Mytilus edulis: one gene and its partners. The main gene of each other region encodes a partner of the protein of the gene in region 3 in a complex. Links are inferred from orthologs where the notes say so. Each region holds a gene or a part of one and is shown on either strand. Other genes may lie near its edges.

The links. The genes of interacting proteins can lie anywhere in the genome.
Region 1: mediator of RNA polymerase II transcription subunit 8-B-like (region 3) and mediator of RNA polymerase II transcription subunit 21-like share a complex: the UniProt entries of both Caenorhabditis elegans proteins name them as parts of the mediator complex. The link is inferred for Mytilus edulis from reciprocal best matches to the Caenorhabditis elegans genes mdt-8 and mdt-21.
Region 2: mediator of RNA polymerase II transcription subunit 8-B-like (region 3) and cyclin-dependent kinase 8-like share a complex: the UniProt entries of both Caenorhabditis elegans proteins name them as parts of the mediator complex. The link is inferred for Mytilus edulis from reciprocal best matches to the Caenorhabditis elegans genes mdt-8 and cdk-8.

The regions. Positions count from the first base shown.
Region 1 is NC_092349.1:41,335,746-41,343,042, forward strand, and holds the start of mediator of RNA polymerase II transcription subunit 21-like, read left to right. Parts: upstream 1-4,283; 5' UTR 4,284-4,409; coding exon 4,410-4,451; intron 4,452-7,263; coding exon 7,264-7,297. UniProt on the Caenorhabditis elegans protein: Component of the Mediator complex, a coactivator involved in the regulated transcription of nearly all RNA polymerase II-dependent genes.
Region 2 is NC_092353.1:33,984,803-33,992,757, forward strand, and holds the start of cyclin-dependent kinase 8-like, read left to right. Parts: upstream 1-4,941; 5' UTR 4,942-5,010; coding exon 5,011-5,144; intron 5,145-7,612; coding exon 7,613-7,688; intron 7,689-7,955. UniProt on the Caenorhabditis elegans protein: Component of the Mediator complex, a coactivator involved in regulated gene transcription of nearly all RNA polymerase II-dependent genes.
Region 3 is NC_092344.1:62,053,254-62,060,751, reverse strand, and holds the start of mediator of RNA polymerase II transcription subunit 8-B-like, read left to right. Parts: upstream 1-4,475; 5' UTR 4,476-4,490; coding exon 4,491-4,508; intron 4,509-5,163; coding exon 5,164-5,282; intron 5,283-5,887; coding exon 5,888-6,032; intron 6,033-7,221; coding exon 7,222-7,362; intron 7,363-7,498. Other genes in the region: nuclear transcription factor Y subunit gamma-like, read right to left, coding at 52-180, 3,817-3,831. UniProt on the Caenorhabditis elegans protein: Component of the Mediator complex, a coactivator involved in the regulated transcription of nearly all RNA polymerase II-dependent genes.

The DNA of each region.
Region 1 (7,297 bases), on a different chromosome or scaffold from region 3:
AAGTGTTTTAATTTAAATTAAATGTGTTACAAGGAGTCCAATGTCAATGTAGTTGCGGAACCGTAGCTCTTAGGTCCTTATGTTATTTTTTGACTATTTGCGGACCATAGAGCTACGGATTTTTCCTATTTCAAAACGTTCGGAATTGCGACCCAGGTTCAGGTCGCACTTATTTCTCAAAAAAATATTGTTTATATATAATCCATGCAAAACTTGTCAATATATATAGTTCGATTCGTTAGATATTTTTCTAGGATATGACGTACCTATTTATGTTTGAATATTCATTTCCTTAACACTATTATCTAATTATTTCCATTTGTATACATTCTCCGCCTATTTTATTCGACCATATTGAATCTCGTTGTAAAAATATCTAACGAAACGAACTATACATATATTGACAAGTTTTGCATGGATTATAAACAATATTTTTTGGAGAAAAAAGTGGGACCTGAACCTGGGTCGCAATTCCGAACGTTTTGAAATAGGAAAAATCCGTAGCTCTATGGTCCGCAAATAGTCAAAAAATAACATAAGGACCTAAGAGCTACAGTTCCGCAGCTAATGTCAATGTAGATTGATGAAAGCAGATATATATATATATGTCCCTGATGAAAGGGAAGCGTCTTTTCCAATTGCATTTCTCTTTGTTCTGTGTATTTATTTATCAAATTTAGATCAGGGAGTGACAAAATTCCTCATAACACAATACAATCTTATTGAGGAAATACCATATGTGCTCTGCATGTCATATGCCTTCATATGTGGTACATGTACATGAAAACATGTCCTTTTAAGGCTTTTTATGCTATTTTACACTGTTTAATAAGTATTAGCTTATATTTCGAAGTATCCTGTGATTGTCCCTTTTCATAAATGTCGAAGTGATTTTAATTGTCAGGCATTCTATGACAGTAATACATGTTCTCATTTTGTGTTGGGATCTTGTTCACCATATCCCACCTCTGTTCCATTAAATCTCAATGGGTACCGTGGGAGGGTATTTAGGTATTTATATAATAAGGCCAATTAATCAGACACCCATCCCTGGCAGCAAGTTAAAAGATCCTTCCCTTTAGTGATGTCTGGCAAGGCTATATAAAAACAAATCTGGGATGCCATGAAGCCTTGCCAGACGTCATAATTATTTGGACTAGTACCTCATATGTGTAATGGAACTAAAACAGCCCCTTTCAATAGGTTTCAGACTTTCTGATCAACACTTGAACCAAAGTTGACCCACCGTCAACCTCACTGACTGTCTGAAACAGGGGTTCAAATTAGCGGTGGTCCAATTAAACCAAAATTCCCTAACGATCTCAAAAATAATTATCATTTTTATTATTCATGACTGCGATGTTCATTTTGTTCAACCGCTAGATTTACACCGAAAATATCCAACAATTAATGTGTAAGTATTTGTAAAATCGTATCTGGTCCTCCGTTTTCAACTGGTTCCTTTTCACCTCATTAGATCATGATGAAACGTTGACTGAACAGGGAACCGCCTTTCAACTGGTTCCTTTTCACCACATTAGATCATGATGAAACGTTGACTGAACAGGGAACCGCAAGGGATTTTCGAATCCACTCCGAGGGTATTCCGACTGGAAGAAGAAAGACTGATCTTTCTTATCATGTTTTATTTTTATTTGTACTTCTTCAAACAGAAAAGGGTCGGCGGAATTACAAAAAAATCTTCAAAATCGTTTTTATTTTTATTTTGATATTGTGAAAAACAGGGTTGGCGGATCCGTAAAACAACAAATAAAAAAAAAGTGGCCTTATGTAGGGTTGATGATTTTATTGGTAAGATGCATGTTTGTAAAAACTATCATGCAAATTTTGCATCTTAAGCATCTGACATTCCTTGTGGCAGCAAGTGTCACCCATGGCAAGTGTACCAAAATAGGGATTTATATAGACAATTAAATAAATACTTAATTTCAATCAATTAAATGTTCGCTTATTCACTTTATTCATTTAATTGTAATAATATTTATTTGTTAAAAGTCAATAAAAGATTAGTTCGCCTAAAATAAACCCATACTAATCCAAATGCATTTATGATCCAGCTCTTACTGGACCGTACAATTGCAGTCCAAATACTTGTATGATCTGGAACATAAATAAAGTATATTTGCTATTCACTAACAACTTCCAAGTTTCTTCTCCACGGCAATCACTTTTATATTATAATGAGAGCCTCTATCAACACAAAAATTATTGTCCTGTCCTAGAGTATTCTTATGAAAATTATATTCAAGGTGAAAACCGGAAGCTCGAGTCTTGTATGACTTTAAAGTTGGTCTGATGACAGAAATAATGTCCAGATATCTTTATATTCGTTTTTCTCCCAAAATAAACCTAACTAGATAATCATAAGAATAGATGACAAATGCGACTATACTTGGTACATTTACCTAAAGAACACATGATGATTAATTTATTCATTATTGTAGAAGGAAGAGAAAGGGCACTCGAAAAACTACACCATTATTAGGCACAATTTTTTTCTTATCAAGACGAAAGGTTCAACTATTTACATTATTGATAAAAAAGTGGGGTTCATTATTTAAATTTATCTGCCATTTTTTCTATTTAACAAGTCTGAAGTCTATAGACCCTTCGCATAAATTTTAAAAAGACGTTTGTTTTTTTTTCTTAAAAATCTTTTTTTTTTTTTCAAGTAAATAAATTTTTTTGTCGTTAATTTTTTTCTTCTTGTTGCTAATTACTAATTAGCGAGACCGCAAATTAGTCAATACGAAGATGAATATTTTTTTCATGCTTGAATTTTGAAGAAAAAAAATAAATGCAAACACTTTGTCCCCTTTCCCTGCTAACACATATTTCAGACTAACGAAAAACAGGCCAAATCAGTTTATAGACTTGCACGTGTTTCAATGCCAAAGGATGAAATATTTTACAACCACGTGGTCAACCAAAAATGATATGGTAAAACTTTTCAGAAGAGCTGTGGTGTTTTTGAATTGCTAAAATGTGTAGAATTTTTAGTTTTCTCATGACCTAAATGTTTTTCAGTTTGTTAAGAAGAAATATTCATGTATACTTTTAAGTCTTTCAGACACGAAACTGTGAACAACTTCTTTGATCAAGTAAAATGGTTGAAAGGAAGAGCTTTGGTTTCTGGGTAATAAAGAAAGCTTGGTACAACTAAAATCCAATGCTGAATACATTAGTTAATAGAGAAGGAACGTACATTTTTATGCTCGGTTTTTTTTTAAGTAAGTAATTAGACCAGTGTATGTAAAGTGCGGATACTAAAATACCATTTTCACTGTCTATGCCATGCATTTCTGATGTAGAATGGTATATAAATAGACGAAAACATTATGATTTTTGAAGAAAATGAAGAAAATTGTTCACATGTACTATATTTAGTAATAAAACTTAAGAATAAGTTACACGAAACCCCACCAAAACTGGGGGGTGATCTTAGGTGCTCCGGAAGGGTAAGCAGATCCTGCTGTATATGTGGCACCCGTCGTGTTGATTAGGTAGCAATACACAGTTAGGAGTTTAGTTTCGCATTTTGGCCCCTGTGAATTTTTCAAATAGGAAAGTTATTGTGTAATAAAATTCATTTTTAGACAGATGAGTGCTAATTTAGCCTTCAAAGATGGTTTATAAGACCATCAAGATTATTTTTTACATGTTTTATGGGCTGTTTTCTGTTTGACAATCCGTATTTTCATAGCTAGACCGGCCATCGGTCCAGAAATTAATGTACTGTTTACAAACACTGTTTTTCTACACGAAGTTTTTGACGCAATTTTACAAAAAAATGAGACGAAAGACATATGATTTTCATTGGATTTGCTGAATGATATATGTACACAGTTTCAGAAAAGGTACTACTTCAAGTGATTGAAATTCTACTTTTAGCCAAATTTTGGGGAAATATGTGACATCTTTCCCCCCCTTTTTGCAATATTTTATAACAAATAAATGCAGATTGTTGCCATGGATACACCAAAAAGAAAATATATTTTACCATTTTATATACTGGATATATAATCTATGGAAGGTTCTGATTACATACATATGCCCATATATGACACAAACAGTAAGCTTGATATTGCAAGAAAGCAATGAAAAGGGGATGGTAAAATTCATAAGGGCAAATTTTAGTATTTTTTCCTAACTGTTTATTGCTACCTTATGTTATTACAAGCCCGGTGAATAGTCTACTATTCTGTATAAAGTGTAAATAACGTTAATTGTTGTACAATGTTGTATGAAGATATTTGTTGGTTATTACTCAGCCCTTTGTAAAAGGTCAAGGTTTAAACTGCTATTGCTAGAAATTTTGACACTTTTGTATCCAGTTAACACAAATAATGCTTATATAGGATTTATACTAAACTTGTGGCAGATTTGAAATGGCAGACAGACTGACACAGCTACAGGATGCTGTAAATCAAGTAAAACGAAACAGATAATTTTAGTTTAACGTTAATGTTCATTCACATGGGATAGTAAACCCGGCAAATAGTAACACCGGTGGTTCATCATGAAGAATACCTTTTTGTATCAAATGATTAATCGTGTTGGTATAAACATATTAATATGAAAGTATTATCCTATAGGTAGAAGAAAATAAGACGTGCTTCAAATGCAAAGATTACCATATGTACATGTAATGTATGCTACTCGCTTGAGATGGAAAATTATCGCTAGAAACTAAGCATGCACGTGGCTTTGCTAATGAAATTGACATGAAATTGACAACGTCGTCATAGGTAAAATAGCGATAAAAAGTTTATCGTTGACCGATTATCTATAATTATAGCTTAATTAACGTTAAAACAATTTTCCACTAAAAATGAATGTTACTTTATTCAAATATAAGGACTTTGTTAGCTAAACCTACTAATTTTATTAGATATTATGATTTTTTAAGACAATAGATAAACATGCTATCATATGTATTTGTACATTGTACAAACGTCAAAAGAATTTGAACTAGGTATGCCTTTTATTTGGAAATTGTTACGTCACATTGCAATTTTAATAGCACAAAGACTCATAAGACTAGGATGCACCAACTGGTTATCAGCTTTGTTAGAGTCTATCAAAATGTACCTCTGTCATATTTGTTTTTCGTAAACTGTTTTATTGTAAATTAAGCTATTATTCTTCTCAATTGATTTGCTTCATATTTTTCAAGTCAGGACCTTTTGTAGACGACCACACAGTATGGGTTTTTATACGACCGCAAAAATTTTAATTTTTCGTCGTATATTGCTATCACGTTGGCGTCGTCGTCTTGCATCGTCGTCTTCGTCCGAATACTTTTAGTTTTCACACTCTAACTTTTGTAAAAGTGAATAGAAATCTATGAAATTTTAACACAAGGTTTATTACCACAAAAGGAAGGTTGGGATTGATTTTGAAAGTTTTGGTCCCAATATTTTAGGAATTAGGGGCCAAAAAGGGCCCAAATAAGCATTTTCTTGGTTTTCGCACTATAACTTTAGTTTACGTAAATTGAAATCTATGAAATTTTGACACAAGGTTTATGACCACAAAATGAAGGTTGGGATTGATCCCAACAGTTTAGGAATTAGGGGCCAAAAAAGGGCCCAAATAAGCATTATTCTTGGTTTTCGTACAATAACTTTAGTATAAGTAAATAGAAATCAATGAAATTTAAACACAAGTTTTATGAACACAAAAGGAAGGTTGGGATTGATTTTGGGAGTTTTGGTCCCAACAGTTTAGGAATTAGGGGCCAAAAAGGGGGCCAAATAAGCATTATTCTTGGTTTTCGCACCATAACTTTAGTATAAGTAAATAGAAATCTATGAAATTTAAACACAAGGTTTGTGACCATAAAAGGAAGGTTGGGTTTCATTTTTGGAGGTTTGATCCTAACAGTTTAGGAATTAAGGGGCCCAAAGGGTCCAAAATTGAACTTTGTTTGATTTCATCAAAAATTGAATAATTGGGGTTCTTTGATATGCCGAATCTAACTGTGTATGTAGATTCTTAATTTTTGGTCCCGTTTTCAAATTGGTCTTCATTAAGGTCCAAAGGGTCCAAAATTGAATTCTTGAGCTTTTTTGATATGCGGAATCTAAACATGTACTTAGATTTTTAATTATAGTTTTCAAGTTGGTTCAAATCAGGATCCAAAACTATTATATGAAGTATTGTGCAATAGCAAGAAATTTTCAATTGCACAGTATTCAGCAATAGCAAGAAATCTTCAATTGCACAGTTTTGCGCAATAGCAAGAAATCTTCAATTGCACAGTATTGTCAATTTGTGCAATAGCAAATATTTTCAATTGCACAGTATTGCGCAATAGCAAGAAATATCTAATTGCACAATATTGTGCAATAGCAAGAAATTTTCAATTGATTGGAGTTATCTTTCTTTGTCCAGAATAGTAGTTGAATCAACTTAAATCATTGTTTTATACAATATACAATGTATATTCACTTTTACTACCAACTGATAAATTAAAACAATCTTTACCATTCAGTGATAACAAGCACTTTATTTTACATTTTAATATTTTATGATGTATTTAAATGAGTAGTTATTGTTGCAAACTTCATTAGGAATTTGAATTGAGATCAGTTTTGGAAAAAGGGAAAGGGGGATGTGAAAAAAAAATTGGGGGGGGGGGGGGGGTAAATTTTTCTCATTTCAGATTTCATAAATAAAAAGAAAATTTCTTCAAACATTTTTTTGAGAGGATTAATATTCAACAGCATAGTGAATTGCTCAAAGGCAAAAAAAATATTTTAAGTTCATTAGACCACATTCATTCTGTGTCAGAAACCTATGCTGTGTCAACTATTTAATCACAATCCAAATTAAGAGCTGAATCCAGCTTAAATGTTGTGTCCATACTTGCCCCAACTGTTCAGGGTTCAACCTCTGCGGTCGTATATAGCTGCGCCCTGCGGAGCATCTGGTTCTCATTGTTGACGGCTGTAGGTTGCCTATAATTGCTTACATCCACTTCATTTGACTTTCTTAATAATTAAATGGAAAAATCGATTGTAGGTGCCCTTATGTGAATAACATTTGCCAGATTTTTATCAAAATTATATCAAATGTTAAAATATTTGTGAAAAGTTTGAATAAACAAAAGTGTTGTTTTTTTCAGATAAAATATCTGCAACTCAGTGGAAATTGGAACTCTGTTTTTTTTCTTTGTATTAGATATAAAAAAAAATTCTAAATTTGCATTAAATATTTATGAAAATTTTCTATTTGCAGATGGCTGATCATTTTTGCAACAGTGTAGGAATTT
Region 2 (7,955 bases), on a different chromosome or scaffold from region 3:
CCAGGTAAGGAACCGAATTCAAATCTTGAATGTATGAGGTCCCGCGAAAACTAACGCAATGTCGGACAACACAGAAAGTTTTCTCTTGGCTATTTACAGGATAAAACGTTCTCTATATATATACAATTAAAACTATGTACAGGAGTTTTTTATTTTATCACTAGCCATATACAAATTGAAAATTGCCGCGGAAATGTGTGAAAAGTGCCCATTGCGTATTTTATCTTTGACTTTTTTTCGTGTTATAGACGAATTTTTTTAAGAATGCTTACCCCATGGCCTTATTGTGATTTTGAGATCGGTAACAGCAATAAAGCGATAGAATCCTTTGCTTTTCTTTTTCCATACGCATGTCAGTTGTGATTTTGTGTCACGAATTGATACACCATATCGTTTCTTTTCCAATATTAAAAAGTGGCTTGGTTAGACTAGTTTTAGCAATCTGGTCCGAGGGTTCCAAAGATCCTTTCTCAATACTTGAGGTTCGTCGTCCCTCCGTCATGAACTTTTTTCAAACATTTAACAAACGAAGCTACACAATCATATCAATAAAAATTGGTGTAAATGATCTTTACTATGCCTAGAATAAAATGTGTGAATATGTTCCCTGTCGAATAGACTCGGGGGCGGATCCAGCCATTCTAAAAAGGGTGGGTTCCTAACCCAGGACAAACGGGGGGGGGGGGGGGGGTCCAATTACATGTCCCCATTCAAATGCATTGATCGTCCTAAAAAAAGGGGGGTTCCACCCCCCGGAACCCCCCCCCCCCCCTCTGGATCCGCGCCTGAGACTTTACAATAGTTACCGACCAGAGTTCAGAGTTTCAAATGACACTATGATTATCCTGAACATGCATGACACATTCGCCACCGGACGCAATAAATACGTCCATGCACCCAGATTCGACGAAAGAATCGGTTGGTAAGAAACCGTACGCATTTAGTTGTACTTATACCGAGTGTTTTCTATAAAAAAAAATAGCTCTATGTGTACAGTTCTTTTTTTCTAAATGCTATCTTATATATGCTTACAAGTTGTTTTTTTAAACTTTTCTATCATCTCAACAGCTGCTTTCATGTGTACCAGGCTACTTTTCCCCAACCTTCTTCTCGGAAGGCGGCCTACTTAACAGGACCTGCCCACTATATGTATGGTTGATTTGTAAACGTCCCAGCTGTACCTGCTTGAAATATTTGTCACTGAATGTTAAGTGTATTAGACAGTTGCCCATGGAAGGTGTTTGCCACATGCAAAACTGTTTGATATTGGTCAAACATTGCTATCTGATCATTGTGAACTTTTTTCAAACATTTAACAAACGAAGCTACACAATCATATCAATAAAAATTGGTGTAAATGATCTTTACTATGCCTAGAATAAAATGTGTGAATATGTTCCCTGTCGAATAGACTCGGGGGCGGATCCAGCCATTCTAAAAAGGGTGGGTTCCTAACCCAGGGCAAAGGGGGGGTCCAATTACATGTCCCCATTCAAATGCATTGATCGTCCTAAAAAAAAGGGGGGTTCCACCCCCCGGAACCCCCCCCCCCCCCCTCTGGATCCGCGCCTGAGACTTTACAATAGTTACCGACCAGAGTTCAGAGTTTCAAATGACACTATGATTATCCTGAACATGCATGACACATTCGCCACCGGACGCAATAAATACGTCCATGCACCCAGATTCGACGAAAGAATCGGTTGGTAAGAAACCGTACGCATTTAGTTGTACTAATACCGAGTGTTTTCTATAAAAAAAAAAATAGCTCTATGTGTACAGTTCTTTTTTTCTAAATGCTATCTTATATATGCTTACAAGTTGTTTTTTTAAACTTTTCTATCATCTCAACAGCTGCTTTCATGTGTACCAGGCTACTTTTCCCCAACCTTCTTCTCGGAAGGCGGCCTACTTAACAGGACCTGCCCACTATATGTATGGTTGATTTGTAAACGTCCCAGCTGTACCTGCTTGAAATATTTGTCACTGAATGTTAAGTGTATTAGACAGTTGCCCATGGAAGGTGTTTGCCACATGCAAAACTGTTTGATATTGGTCAAACATTGCTATCTGATCATTTGTTAGAGACCTGTTTTATCGGTATTTGCTTCAGTGATAAAATTGAGAATGGAAATGGGGAATGTGTCAAAGAGACAACAACCCGACCAAATAAAAAACAACAGTAGAGGGTCACCAACAGGTCTTCAATGTAGCGAGAAATTTCCGCACCCGGAGGCGTCCTTCAGCTGGCCCCTAAACAAATATATACTAGTCCAGTGATAATGAACGCCATACTAATTTCCAAATTGTACACAAGGAACTAAAATTAAAATAATACAAGACTAACAAAGGCCAGAGGCTCCTGGCTTGGGACAGGCGCAAAAATGCGGCGGGGTTAAACATGTTTGTGAGATCTCAACCCTCCCCCTATACCTCTAACCAATGTAGAAAAGTAAACGCATAACAATACGCACATTAAAAATCAGTTCAAGAGAAGTCCGAGTCTGATGTCAGAAGATGTAACCAAAGAAAATAAAAAAAATGACAATAATACATAAATAAAAACAGACTACTAGCAGTTAACTGACATGCCAGCTCCAGACTTCAATTAAACTGACTGAAAGATTATGATTTCATCATATGAACATCAGGCACAATCCTTCCCGTTAGGGGTTTAGTATCATACCATCATAACATATATGAGAAGAACATAACCCGTGTCATGCCAACAACTGTTTTTAGAATAAATGTGTTTAGTTCCGATGCAAAGACCTTATCAGTGACTCAATATTAACTCCAAAATATGCAATCTTTAATGACTTGACAACAGTATCGTAATTATATCCCTTCTTAATAAGTCTATTCAAAGGTTTTGTAAGTTTCTGAGGTTAATACTGACACCTTTGTGCTTTATAAAGAATATTTCCATAAAAAATTGGATGTGAAATACCTGAACGTATTAGAAGTCTGCATGTTGAGCTATATTTACGAATGATGTCTTTATACCGATGATAAAATTTAGTAAATGTTTTGACTAGTTTGTGATATCGAAAACCCTGGTGTAATAGTTTTTCAGTAATACATAAATTTCTCTCGTTAAAATCTAAAACATTGTTACATACACGAGCGAATCGTACAAGTTGAGATATATAAACACCGTAAGATGGTGACAAGGGAACGTCACCATCTAAAAACGGATAATTAACGATAGGAAATGAAAAATCATCCCTTCTATCATAAATTTTAGTATTCAGCTTTCCATTAGTGATATAGATATCAAGATGAATGACTGGGGTACTATGGATGGGATTATCCTCACTTTCTGTATCCTATTAATTGTTTGGTTATTTTTCTGTATTCTTTTCTTCAGTTTGCTCATTATTCTTTATTCTATATGGTTTTGCAACGGCAGGGTATGGGCTCGGGAACATGTTACTTCGTTGCTCATTATTCTTTATTCTATATGGTTTTGCAACGGCAGGGTATGGGCTCGGGAACATGTTACTTCGTTATGTGTGTATTTTAGTCTAGACGCCATGCATCTAATTAACTATCGAGTTGACCTCCGGAGACCTCAGACCGATATAAACATAATATAGATATAGATAGAAACTAGCTCGTGCATTTGTATTTTTCTAGGTCTCTTTAACTTAATATTGTACATTAAAAATATATGTTAATCATCGTTTTATATTTGTACGGTACCTGTATAAAAAGGATATTTTGTGGATCGAATCAGTCAACGTCAAATGGTCAGTTTACTTTTGTTTCACTTTCAACGTTGGCATTATTTTCCTTTAAATACTCAAAACGCACAATTTATGCGTTATCCATCTCTAGCTGAAGTTCACATAAATACGGATTCCGTGAATGAAGTCGAATTATTCCATGACTTTGGCAACGGCTGAGATAAACAAGATAATTATTCATCATCAATGTTTCTCAGCTTATTTTGACAAAATTGAAACATACTGGCCGCTAAAGGCGAATTATTATTTCACTATTAAAATGATTAATTGAACAAAAATAAATCATATTTTTTTTTTTATATATATCTCGTAGCTATAGTGTTCCTAACTCGAATAATTCAAGCCCTTTCCGTGTCCGATTTTCTCCCACACGAGGGCTTGAACTCTTTGTGATCATTGGCCGCGTCGCCTGCTCTCTGTGAGAGAGAGCCAATCAGCGGCGATCAGGATATGAGTCTGCGCAACTCTCTTGAAATTGCCTTACCACACACGTGTGTTCAATTAACACAAATCCGATAATAATTAATTAACATCAATTAACATCATTTATCATCAATTAACATCCGGAACTCCTCCTTCTTTAGCTGCCAATTTAAATAAAAATTCCCATATTGCAAAGCGGTGTGGATTTTCCGGTTGACGGTCTTGATCGAGGAAGACGTTCAGGCGTTAATGTAGCCTTCGTAGATCAGCGGAATATAACGACTGAATTATTCGGGTTATAGTGTTCCTTTAAATAAACTCATCATAGATACCAGGACTAAATTTAGTATATACGCCAGACGCGCGTTTCGTCTACAAAAGACTCATCAGTGACGCTCGAATCCAAAAAAGTTAAAAAAAAAAAAAAAAAAAAAAAAAAGGCCAAATATTATAAACATGATAAAGTACGAAGTTGAAGAGCATTGAGGACCGAAATTCATAAAAGTTTTGCCAAATACAGCTAAAGGTAATCTATGCCTGAGGTAGAAAAGCCTTAGTACAAAAATTCCAAAAATTGTAAACAGTAAATTTATAAATATAACCATATCAATGACAATTCATGTCAGCACAAAAAGTACTGACTACTGGGCTTGTGATACACTCGGAGAAATAAATCTCCACCAGCAGTGGCGTTGCCAGTGTTGAAAACCCGGAATAGTTGAGTGGTTCCGTGAATGTTCTGTAATTAGATCGTATTGATCATCAACACGCTTTTAACAACGGAATTTTATTTATTAAGCATCTTTAGGAAAATAAATATTTTGGAGCCGTCAAAGAAATGGATTTTGAATATAAGCAGAAAACCAATGCAGAAAGAGCAAAAGTCGAGGACCTTTTCGATTACGAAGGATGCAAAGTTGGACGAGGAACATATGGACATGTGTATAAAGGCAAAAGGAAGAACAGGTTAAAGTGTGTTTGAAGCATATGTCTCGCACACTAAATCGTCGATTTTATATTTTTTAAGAGTTATTTCTTTATTTCTTAGCAGTCTGCACGGTTAGCCACTAGTCCGATACCCCAGACTAGTAAAATTTTATTCGGACTAGTAAGTTTTGCAAAAATTTGTTTGGACCAACAAGAAAAATGTCAGGATATTGGTCTTCGGACTAGTAGTTGAAAAAGTTTTTGGTGCAGACTGTCTTAGTATTTCTTGCCATCACGCATTATAGACGTATAGATAAATTCATAATACGTGTCTTTTTTTGAAGAATGATAAGAATTCCTTATTGTTTTTCTATTTTTGTACAATTATTTGAGTATTGACTATATGTCAATGGCAATCTACATTTGTACAATGTCATGAATGTATATAAATTTAATGATTTGTTATGTTATATGTCTATGATCAGGTGTGGTACCTTCATGACAAATAACGGTAATAGTTCTTGACAAATGTTGTAAACTGTAAAATGATAATAAAATATATATATATGGACTTTCTTTTAGTCGATAAAAACATCGAAAGATTTTGACAAATCATTAATCACGTTAAATTTTTCCAAAAATAAAAGTAACATTTTATAATTATAAAAAGACCTCTGACAAATCAGGATAAGAGGATTTTGACAAATCACTGTAAAATTTCAATCACTTTGACACTAATTTACAGACAGTAAAGGGCATTTATTATTACCCTCATGACAGTCATCAGATTATATACAATATATTCAAAGATTTGTATAGTAAACTATACTAATCTTTGATGTAGCTGTAGAACCGTAGCTCTTTTAAATATAAAAAAAGAAGATGTGGTATGATTGCCAATGAAACAACTCTCCACAAGAGACCAAAATGACACAGAAATTACAGACTATACAGTCTTCAACAATGAACAAAGCCCATACCACATAGTCAGCTTTAAAAGACTCCGAAATAACAATGTAAAACAATTCAAATTTACAAATTGTAGACCATCCATCTTAAAATTGTTTAAAAATATCAAAAAGATATTAGAGAAGGTCGTAAAGGGGGTACATTTTTACCTTATTGGTGAATAACAGTAAAAAAAAATTGCCAAATGATGTCAACAGTAATGTTTGATGCATGACAATCAAAAATATGCTTTCTTTAAGACAATAAAAAAAAATGACTGATTTTGATAAATTACATTAAATTTAGATACTATCTTATTTACATGTAGGATCTTTGACGTATCATGATAGGGATGATTTGACAAATTATGGTAAAAGTTTATCAATTTGACAAATGATGGTAAACTTTTTACCAATTTGACAAATGATGGTAAAAGTTTATCAATTTGACAAATGATGGTAAAAGTTTATCAATTTGACTCTAAAGGTAGCTGAAAGTGACTGTTTGACACCTGACTTTAGAGGGCATTCCTACCCTCTTAAGATTACGGTTCCACATCTATGAGATAATTATTGTGAAATTGTTGTGTAGTTTGAGTACAGGGAACATTGTATTTATAATATACATTTGTACCTTAATGAAACAATTTTACAATAACTTCCCATTAGAGATTGTATGTACATGTACAAAAAAAATGTATATGAAACCGTACACCCTTAAAAATTACAATTTATCATTCAATTGAATGCAATGTGTTTTCAGGTCAACTTTCAATTACATGTTAATGTAATTTGATTAAATTTTACATTTGGAGAAATGTGTGTTTTTCCAAAATTGTTTCAATTAGGCCAACTCAATGTCGCCTCTCAGAAACTATTTATGATTATCAAATGATTATTGAATAAAACTTCACACACAAGATGACAGGTGTATCATGTGCTCGTGGAGCAGCTGTTTATTTTTTTCTTATCATAACTTCCAGTCTGTGCCAAACTGTTTTAGGGTTTGTCTGACTGAAAAAGAAATTTGAATTTTTCTTCTATATATATTCAACCAAAATCTCCAAAAAATTCTGTCTGACCGAATGATTTCTTGTCTGACATTTTGTTGGATAGACAGAGTTTGGGATACACTGAACTTCACATATTCAGCTAATTTTTAGCATGTATAAGTCTATTTATTCAACATGCAGAAATCTTATACATTCGGGTATATCATTTTAATTTTTTATGGTAATATTTTTTATAAAGCACAAAAATATCAGCATTCATCTCAAAAGCTTACCAAAAAATTAAATTTTTACAATTTCTAAAAATGACTTCTTGATTTTTTTGCGAACAGGCCCATATGTGTCATTCAAATACATCTAGTCTTTGCTACGTACTATACTATGAGTGAGAATGTTGTATGAGATTTTATTACATATTGAAGGATTTAAAAAAAACCACTAAATTTAATATCATTTGTGTGGTTGAGAGAAAAACTTCTGCAATGTTCATGTTTTTAGGTATAAATTTTGAAATAGCTTTTTCGGATCCAAAGTATTTCTCTGATTTGAATTTCAGCACTGATGGAAGAGAATATGCCTTAAAGCAGATAGAAGGTACAGGAATTTCTATGTCAGCATGTAGAGAAATAGCTGTAAGTATAATGCTAGTTTCCACTATATATCTACTGTACACAATCTATTAGGGAAGTTATTTCTTTCCTGAACTTCATAGCAGAATCTATAATGATCCAGAGGCGGATTAAGAGCAAGGCCATTCTTTTTATGGAAAAAACTTGGTGGATAATATAGGGAATCACTGAAGCATCAAAATCTATTCAAAAGAGAAAACTAACAGCCTGATATTTAATACAAAAATAAATGTTATTGACAATTATTGCAAAAATTAAGCACCTACAACC
Region 3 (7,498 bases):
TAACATTAAAACTAATTAATAAGTTTGTTTGTTAAATACAAATCTACCTACATTTTTTAGGTCTCTGATATCTTTCATTGCATCAGGCCAGAATGTGTTCAGCATGGCTGCAGCTTCACCACTTATTGATGCAGCATTAGGTGACTGTCCTGATGTTGGGTACTCCATCTTGGAAACTCTCTGAAGAAATAATTTTTCAAATGTGAAATAATCGTTCTATTTTAAATTTCCCTCTAATTACTATTATATAATAATATCATATCACTATAGATTTTATTTGACATTTCCTTGTTTGTGTTCTAAAAACATGTTATACTAATAATTAACAAATCTAAAAGTGCAATGATAAATGGTTCAATGTCAAGGGAAAAAATCCGATTAAATATAAGATCAAAGGTCATGCAATTAAAAATAGAGTAACCCCCAAAAATGTAGACCAGTTGCCGTGTCAGCCTGTAGAAAAAATTAAATATAAAGAATATCATCAAAATCATTGATTTTTACTTGATGCATTGTATATATGCATTAAACATGGTGAAGCAGTTGTTTATAATAGTTTTCAAAATAAACTACATATTGATTTTAACTTTCCATATACAGCATGTACAAGCATGAGTAAAATTAATTTATGTTCCAGGCACACTGTACCAGAAAAATCTTTTTCCTTATTGCATGTAGATAATCCCTGGGTCAAATGTACCTTTTGACAGTATTTCTATATACATGTATAAATGTTGTACTAATTTGATGTATGAACGTGATAAACAACTGCGTTAATAGGAAGTGTTTAACATTACAAGAACATATATCCTGTTTCAAGTTCAGGAAACTAATCTATAATGGAAAAGTCCTGATTAACACAAAATACTTTTCCAGAAATCGAATTTAACAAAGAGCAGTACCTTAAATGGAATAGCAATTGTTCAAAATTGGTAAAAATAGGAGATATGAGGGTATGACTTAGAATGGGGACTAGCTATAGAGGATAATGGGGAAAAACCTCTGCTCTGTGGTACATGTAGGATATTCTGGCATTACGTTAATATACGACAGCCACAAACTCCAGTAAGAGCACTAAAAGAAGTAAAATGAGCTTACAGTTTGGGACATTTTTGGAGAAATTTGAATGCCTTTCTATTATTTTGTTGTATCTATATTAACATAAATTAGCTAATCTTTTAAGATACAATTTGTTCATGCCATGCTCAATGCTTATTTTAACATGTGTGTACATGTATATATGTAGGTATTATTTTTGTCAATATCTTTATACTGAGTGTTAATTAGATTAAATTATAGACAAAAAGAATGTGTCCATAGTACACGGATGCCCCACTCGCACTATCATTTTCTATGTTCAGTGGACCGTGAAAATTGGGGTTAAACCTTTAATTTGGAATTAAAATTAGAAAAATCATATCATAGGGAACATGTGTACTAAGTTTCAAGTTGATGTAACTTTAACTTCATCAAAAACTACCTTGACCAAAAACTTTAACCTGAACTTCGCACTATCATTTTCTATGTTCTGACAGTGGACCACGAAATTGGGGTTAAAACTATAATTTAGCATTAAAATTAGAAAGATCATATCATAGGGAACATGTGTGCTAAGTTTCAAGTTGATTGGACTTCAACTTCTTCAAAAACTACCTTGACCAAAACTTTAACCTGAAGCGAACGGACGCACAGACGGAAGGACGACCGACGGAGGCACAGACCAGAAAACCTAATGCCCCTTCTATCGTAGGTGGGGCATAAAAATAATACCTACTCAAGTTAAAATCAGCATATAGAGCATGTTCTGATAGGCAAATTTATAACTTTTGTACTTCAATTTGGACCTATTATTTATACATGTATATTCGAAAGGTAGCCATTTTGATGTGATTTACCAAAACATTATAGAAAACCAACAATTCAACATGTTTATATTTAACAATAAAAAAATAAACAGCTGCGCCCCATGAGGCATGATACACCAGTGGCATTTTCAAAGAATAAAGTTCAATAACTTCTCAATACCATACATGTATCAGAAATGTATAATAACTAAAGGAAGGTTATCTTAATAGATATACATGTAAATCAGTCACTAAAGTTTATAGAAAACTGCCCAAAGCACTTTACATATTGTAGGTATAGTGTTCGAAAACTTGAAAATCCCCCCTTTTTGTGAATTAAATCCCATAACTCAGAAATGTAAAATAAAAAATTTATAAAAATTGAAAAGGAGCTTATATATATTTATAAATGTCATTGTAAATAAACATTGCCAAAGTTTCGTGCAAATTAGTGAAAGTGTTTTTGAGTTATTGTTGAAAAAATCCCCCCTTTTATAATGAATAAAACTCAGAAATGTAAAATCTAAAATTTATAAATAAATCAAACAGATACATGTATAAACAATTCACCTGACAAAGTTTCATGCAAATTGGTTTAAACATTTTTAAGTTAATGTCCAACATGACAATTGATGGACGGACAATTAACGGTTTTTAATAATACATCCCATTAACGGGCATATGATATCATATATGGATAAAATTACTTTTAAAATGATTTTATTTAATTTCCTAGCAAGCAAAAGCAACACAAATGTTCATTTAGATCTAGAGCATGGTTCAAAGTACAACTGACATTGCAATTTCAATTATGATGTCAATCACAGTTTTATTGCAATTACAATTAAACATCATATTAGAATTCACAATTTGCACAGATTCATGTGATTGTCAACATGATTTTTCTCTTAGCTCTTACTTGATCCAGTACCAGAAGGTCCTACCACAGATTTGGTTACAGGTCAAAAATTTACATACTCAAGAGTAAATAAACAGTCTTGTCAGTCTACCAGTTTGAGACCATCATCTGTAATTTTTCACACACTGCATATTCACTTTTATTCAAGAACTACTGGATAGTAGTCTATTTGCCCAAAAAGAAGTAGTTTCAAATATATGTTGAGGCAAACATTTTCAACACACACTTTATCACTTTTTTTTATACTTTTATTCAAAGGTATTTATAAAATTTTATTGATGTTACTTACTTCAAATTTTGAGGTATGCCTATGTCAAACATGAAAGCAATATGACATGAAAATTGTAAATTATGATTTTATAAAATATTTGTTACCATTTAAAACTTAAATGCAAAGATTTAAATTTAAAGTGTTAATTTTAATTTTAGAGGAAAAACAGGGAGACAACTCAAATTTCTTTTTCATATTCCCTAAATAAGTTTTTTTTTAAAATAAATATAATATATATAAATATATTATTATGCAATTATTATGAGATGAGAAAGACATTCCAAGATGAGGAGTCAGTAGACACCATTAGCCTATTTAAGGACTACAGGATAAAGCTACATGTAAAGGTATAAAGGGTAAAATGGTAAATTATATCTTTTTTTAAATTTCCAAACATAAAATGAATGAAGAATTATTTTTGCATTTTAAACAATCTTGTATAAAATACATTTTAATACCCAAGTCTAGATGCAGATTTGGTGGTGGTGGTGGGAGGGGTGGACTCCCCCCTTTTTGTGGTAAATTGGTTGATTCTACAGGGAAACACTGTATGAGGCATGACTTGAGCGGCCATCTGAGGCAGTCAGTGGCCCCAACCCCTTATGAAAAATTCTGGATCCACCGCTGAAGTGTCTAGCCTAAATTGAGTGACATTTATTCATATCAAAGCATTTTTTTTCTATATTTCACAAATATATGCATGAAAAAGAGGGAAAGGGGGTAGTTCTTGTACAAAAATGAGAATAATATTAAATATAAATACATGTATATCAATGTCTTACTTTGATCAGTCTCATTCTGCATAGTTCCAATATTAACTGAGACAACACCAAAGGTTGATAAAATTATGGGAAATTCATTTTCAGAATTTGTTTTTGTAGTAACATTCTAAAAATAGAAAGCAATTCAAGGAAGCCATTTTTGTTCTGTCCGTGAGGGGATATTTGTCAACACATGACTGTCGATCACAGAGAGTTTATTTGGAGAAACATTTTATTTCATTTATAAATTGCTACTTCTTTGATACAGGGAAATGTTTGTAAATTATCATTGGAGATTGGGTCGAAGAGTGGACCAATAAATTGGTCGGGAATCGACACCCAATCAACACTGACCTACCCACCAATGAGAACAAAGAATTATTCAATGAAACAAGGTGCGCGGATTGGTTCAAAGTAGCTTCATGTAGAACCTGGAAGTGTATGGGTTTCAAAACAGTTACCTTTCAGCCTTGAATATTCTTGATATAAATTTTATATAATAAAATTCTGTCTTTTCAGATCCTTCAAAATAATGGCTGATATGCGATTTGGTAAATTCTTCCGATTGCGCATGCGTGAATTCGGTATTGTATTTCCGGTTTAAAAATCAAGAAACTATTATAAAGAAAAACAAAAATGCAGGTTAAAAACTAATTTTATAGAGTGTGTTTTGAGGAAACAGTTATAAAGAAGGCATGCACCTGTTGGAAGAGGTGCATAGTTATCCCTGAAGGATTTTTGGAGTTAAAAAAAAAGTTTTAAAAGAAAACTTCACGTTTATTATGTTTATGCTGTTCATTTTATCATGTATACAAAGTGCATGTGTTTGACAGCAAAAATACTATTAGTATCTTTCTCATGGTCTTCTTTCAGTTTCCATCATATTATATTTATATATTATAATTTTATAATGCTTTCATTGGTAAATTAACTAGAAAGTTGACTTTGTCAATCTTGTCTGCCTTGTTTGTTGTGGTCTTCATTTTTTTCACCTTGGCTGTTAAACTTTTACACTTATTGAAAATAATTTTGACAGTTTAATAATTCTATGTCACCCTCTTGATTGTGATAGTCTAAAAATAGAAAATTTATGTACATTGTATCCTTAAAAGGATGCTTTCGAATTCGGCATCTACACTGATGTGCCAAATGGATACATTCAGCATGCCCACAAGGATGTAAAAAGGATACATGAAAGGGTTAAATTATCATAAGAGTACATACATTTTGTGAAATTAAAATTAGTGTTAGGCTAAGACCAGAAAATGGCTGAATATGTTTATTCTGAAAAGACCGGTTTTACTAGCTTTACAAATTTACTACCATGACTACAACTACAATGTACATATTTCATTTGATTTTTTCCAGAAAGAAGAAAAGCAATTAGAAGCCACTGTAGATGCCTTGATCCACAGAGTTCAGGATATCAAAAATTCCATTGCATCGTTTCTCTTTAAGCTTGAAAATGAATATCAAACATTGAATTGGTAGGACATTATGTTTTAATGGTTAATATGCTCCTTTAGACAACAGACAAAGTGTGGACACATGATCATACTGATATAAACACTGAGTTATGCATAATACAATTCTTAACACAACTCAGAAATTGCAAAGGAGCTGGATAGTTCAATGAACAGATGAAAGAACAGACAATAAGAATCAAGCACAAAAAGATCACAAGACCAGGGAATCTCAAAATAAGATGCATTTTCTTTGACAAATATTTTATTAAAATTTCAAAACTGTTTTGTACAATTACCATGTTTACCATCTGGCAAATGTAAACATGATGTGGCAGAATAAAATTAAAAAAACATGTACAAAAAATAACAAACTTTGATATATTAGACATTGTAAATGAGCTAAAATTATTATAGAAGTTACTTGTAAATAATGAATTGTACTTGACTATAGCCATGATAGCTATATGTCATTTTTTTTTTATTGAAGTATAAATTCTTACCTTAAAAGCTACTATCTGCTTAAACCTTTTATCATGATAATGATTAAAAATTCGATATGTTCTTTCTTTTAATCAGAGAGCATGTTCATGTAGTTAATGTCTTAAAATATCCCTTCTTGTTTTCAGGCCATCTGTGCTGGATAATTTTGCTCTGATATCTGGTCAGCTAAATAGTCTTGGTAAAGTCCTGAAAAATGACAGATCACCACATCTTCGAAATCATCTCTTGTTACCGCTGGCACTGAGACCTGATAGAGATGCTGAACTTGAGGTACTGAAAAGATAAATCATACATTATTTTATGATCTAATAGATATAAGAAGATGTGGTATGTGTGCCAATGAGACAACTCTCTATCCAAGTCACAATTTATAAAAGTAAACCATTATAGGTAAAATTAAGGTGTTCAACACGGAGCCTTGGCTTGCACTGAACAACAAGCTATCAAGGCCTCCAAAAATTTCTAGTGTGAAACCTTTTAAATGGGAAAACCAACGGTCTAATCTATATAAAAAACATGAAACGAGAAACACTTATGTTATGAACCAAATCAACAAACGACAACTACTTAACATCAGATTCATGAGGTGCAAACAATTTCAGTGGGTTTAATTGTTTACATGGTACCAAACCTTCACCCTTATCTGAAACAATAGTGTAACATCACAACACAGAAAGACACAATATAAGATATCAATTGAAATTTGAAATGGCTGAACACGACATATTAACATGTGTGAACATACAATGAAAGAATAAATTTGATCTATGATTTAAGTATGACTTATTGTATATTCAATAAACATGAATAAACTTCAGGAAGGGACTTTTCACTTAAGTTAAACTTTTCAATTATGGTAACTTTAATGTTTATAATTATATAAGGTGTTTATAAAAATCAAAATACTCGCAAATCTTCAAATTCAGAGAAGAAGTAAAAACCAGCTTGCACCTGTGTGTTTATGTCATCTGTGACAGATTTTTGCTTATCTCATTTGTTTCAATGAAAAATCATGAAAATAGGCGATAAAAATATTTAAGAGGTTTGCTTCTCTGCTTCTAAATAACAAGCTTTATAAAAGACTGTTATAAATAATAGATGTAATATAGCAGAAAAAAATGAAGGGTCCATGTCCTTGTTTCTAAGATATGCTGTTGAAAATTTGGAGGGAAATGATTCTCTCAAGAATTTTCATTCATTTAACATGTTTAACATAGGCAACTTTTTTCTTTCAAAAAGTATGGAAAGATAATAAGGATTTTAATACAAAATTTTCGAATATCTTACAAAACTTAAAAAACAAGAGGAGCCAACATCCTTAAGATAAGGAGAAAAAAGTATTAAAAATGATTGCAGACATTTATTTGTTTAAGTACATGTATATGTATCTAAATATTATATGCACCTCTAAATATAACTAGTCATGCATAAATTTTTATTCATTGTATTTGCTCTGTAGAAACTAACAGAAGGAAGAGTAATTTGTTTTAACCATGAAGTTGTACCAGACTACCTCCGTACCAAACCAGAACCAGAGGTCGAGGACAAAGTTAATATTGTTGTTCAGAAATCAGCTGCAATGCAAGCAGACATGGCACAAGTAAGAACATTTAGTCTTTTCTTAGAAAAGTACACAATCTGTATTAGGAATATATATTGCATCAAAATTGATGTGGGAGGGTATAAGTAGGAAGGGAAGTTAAATTATTGAATGTTGGTCATGGGTCTGTTTTTAG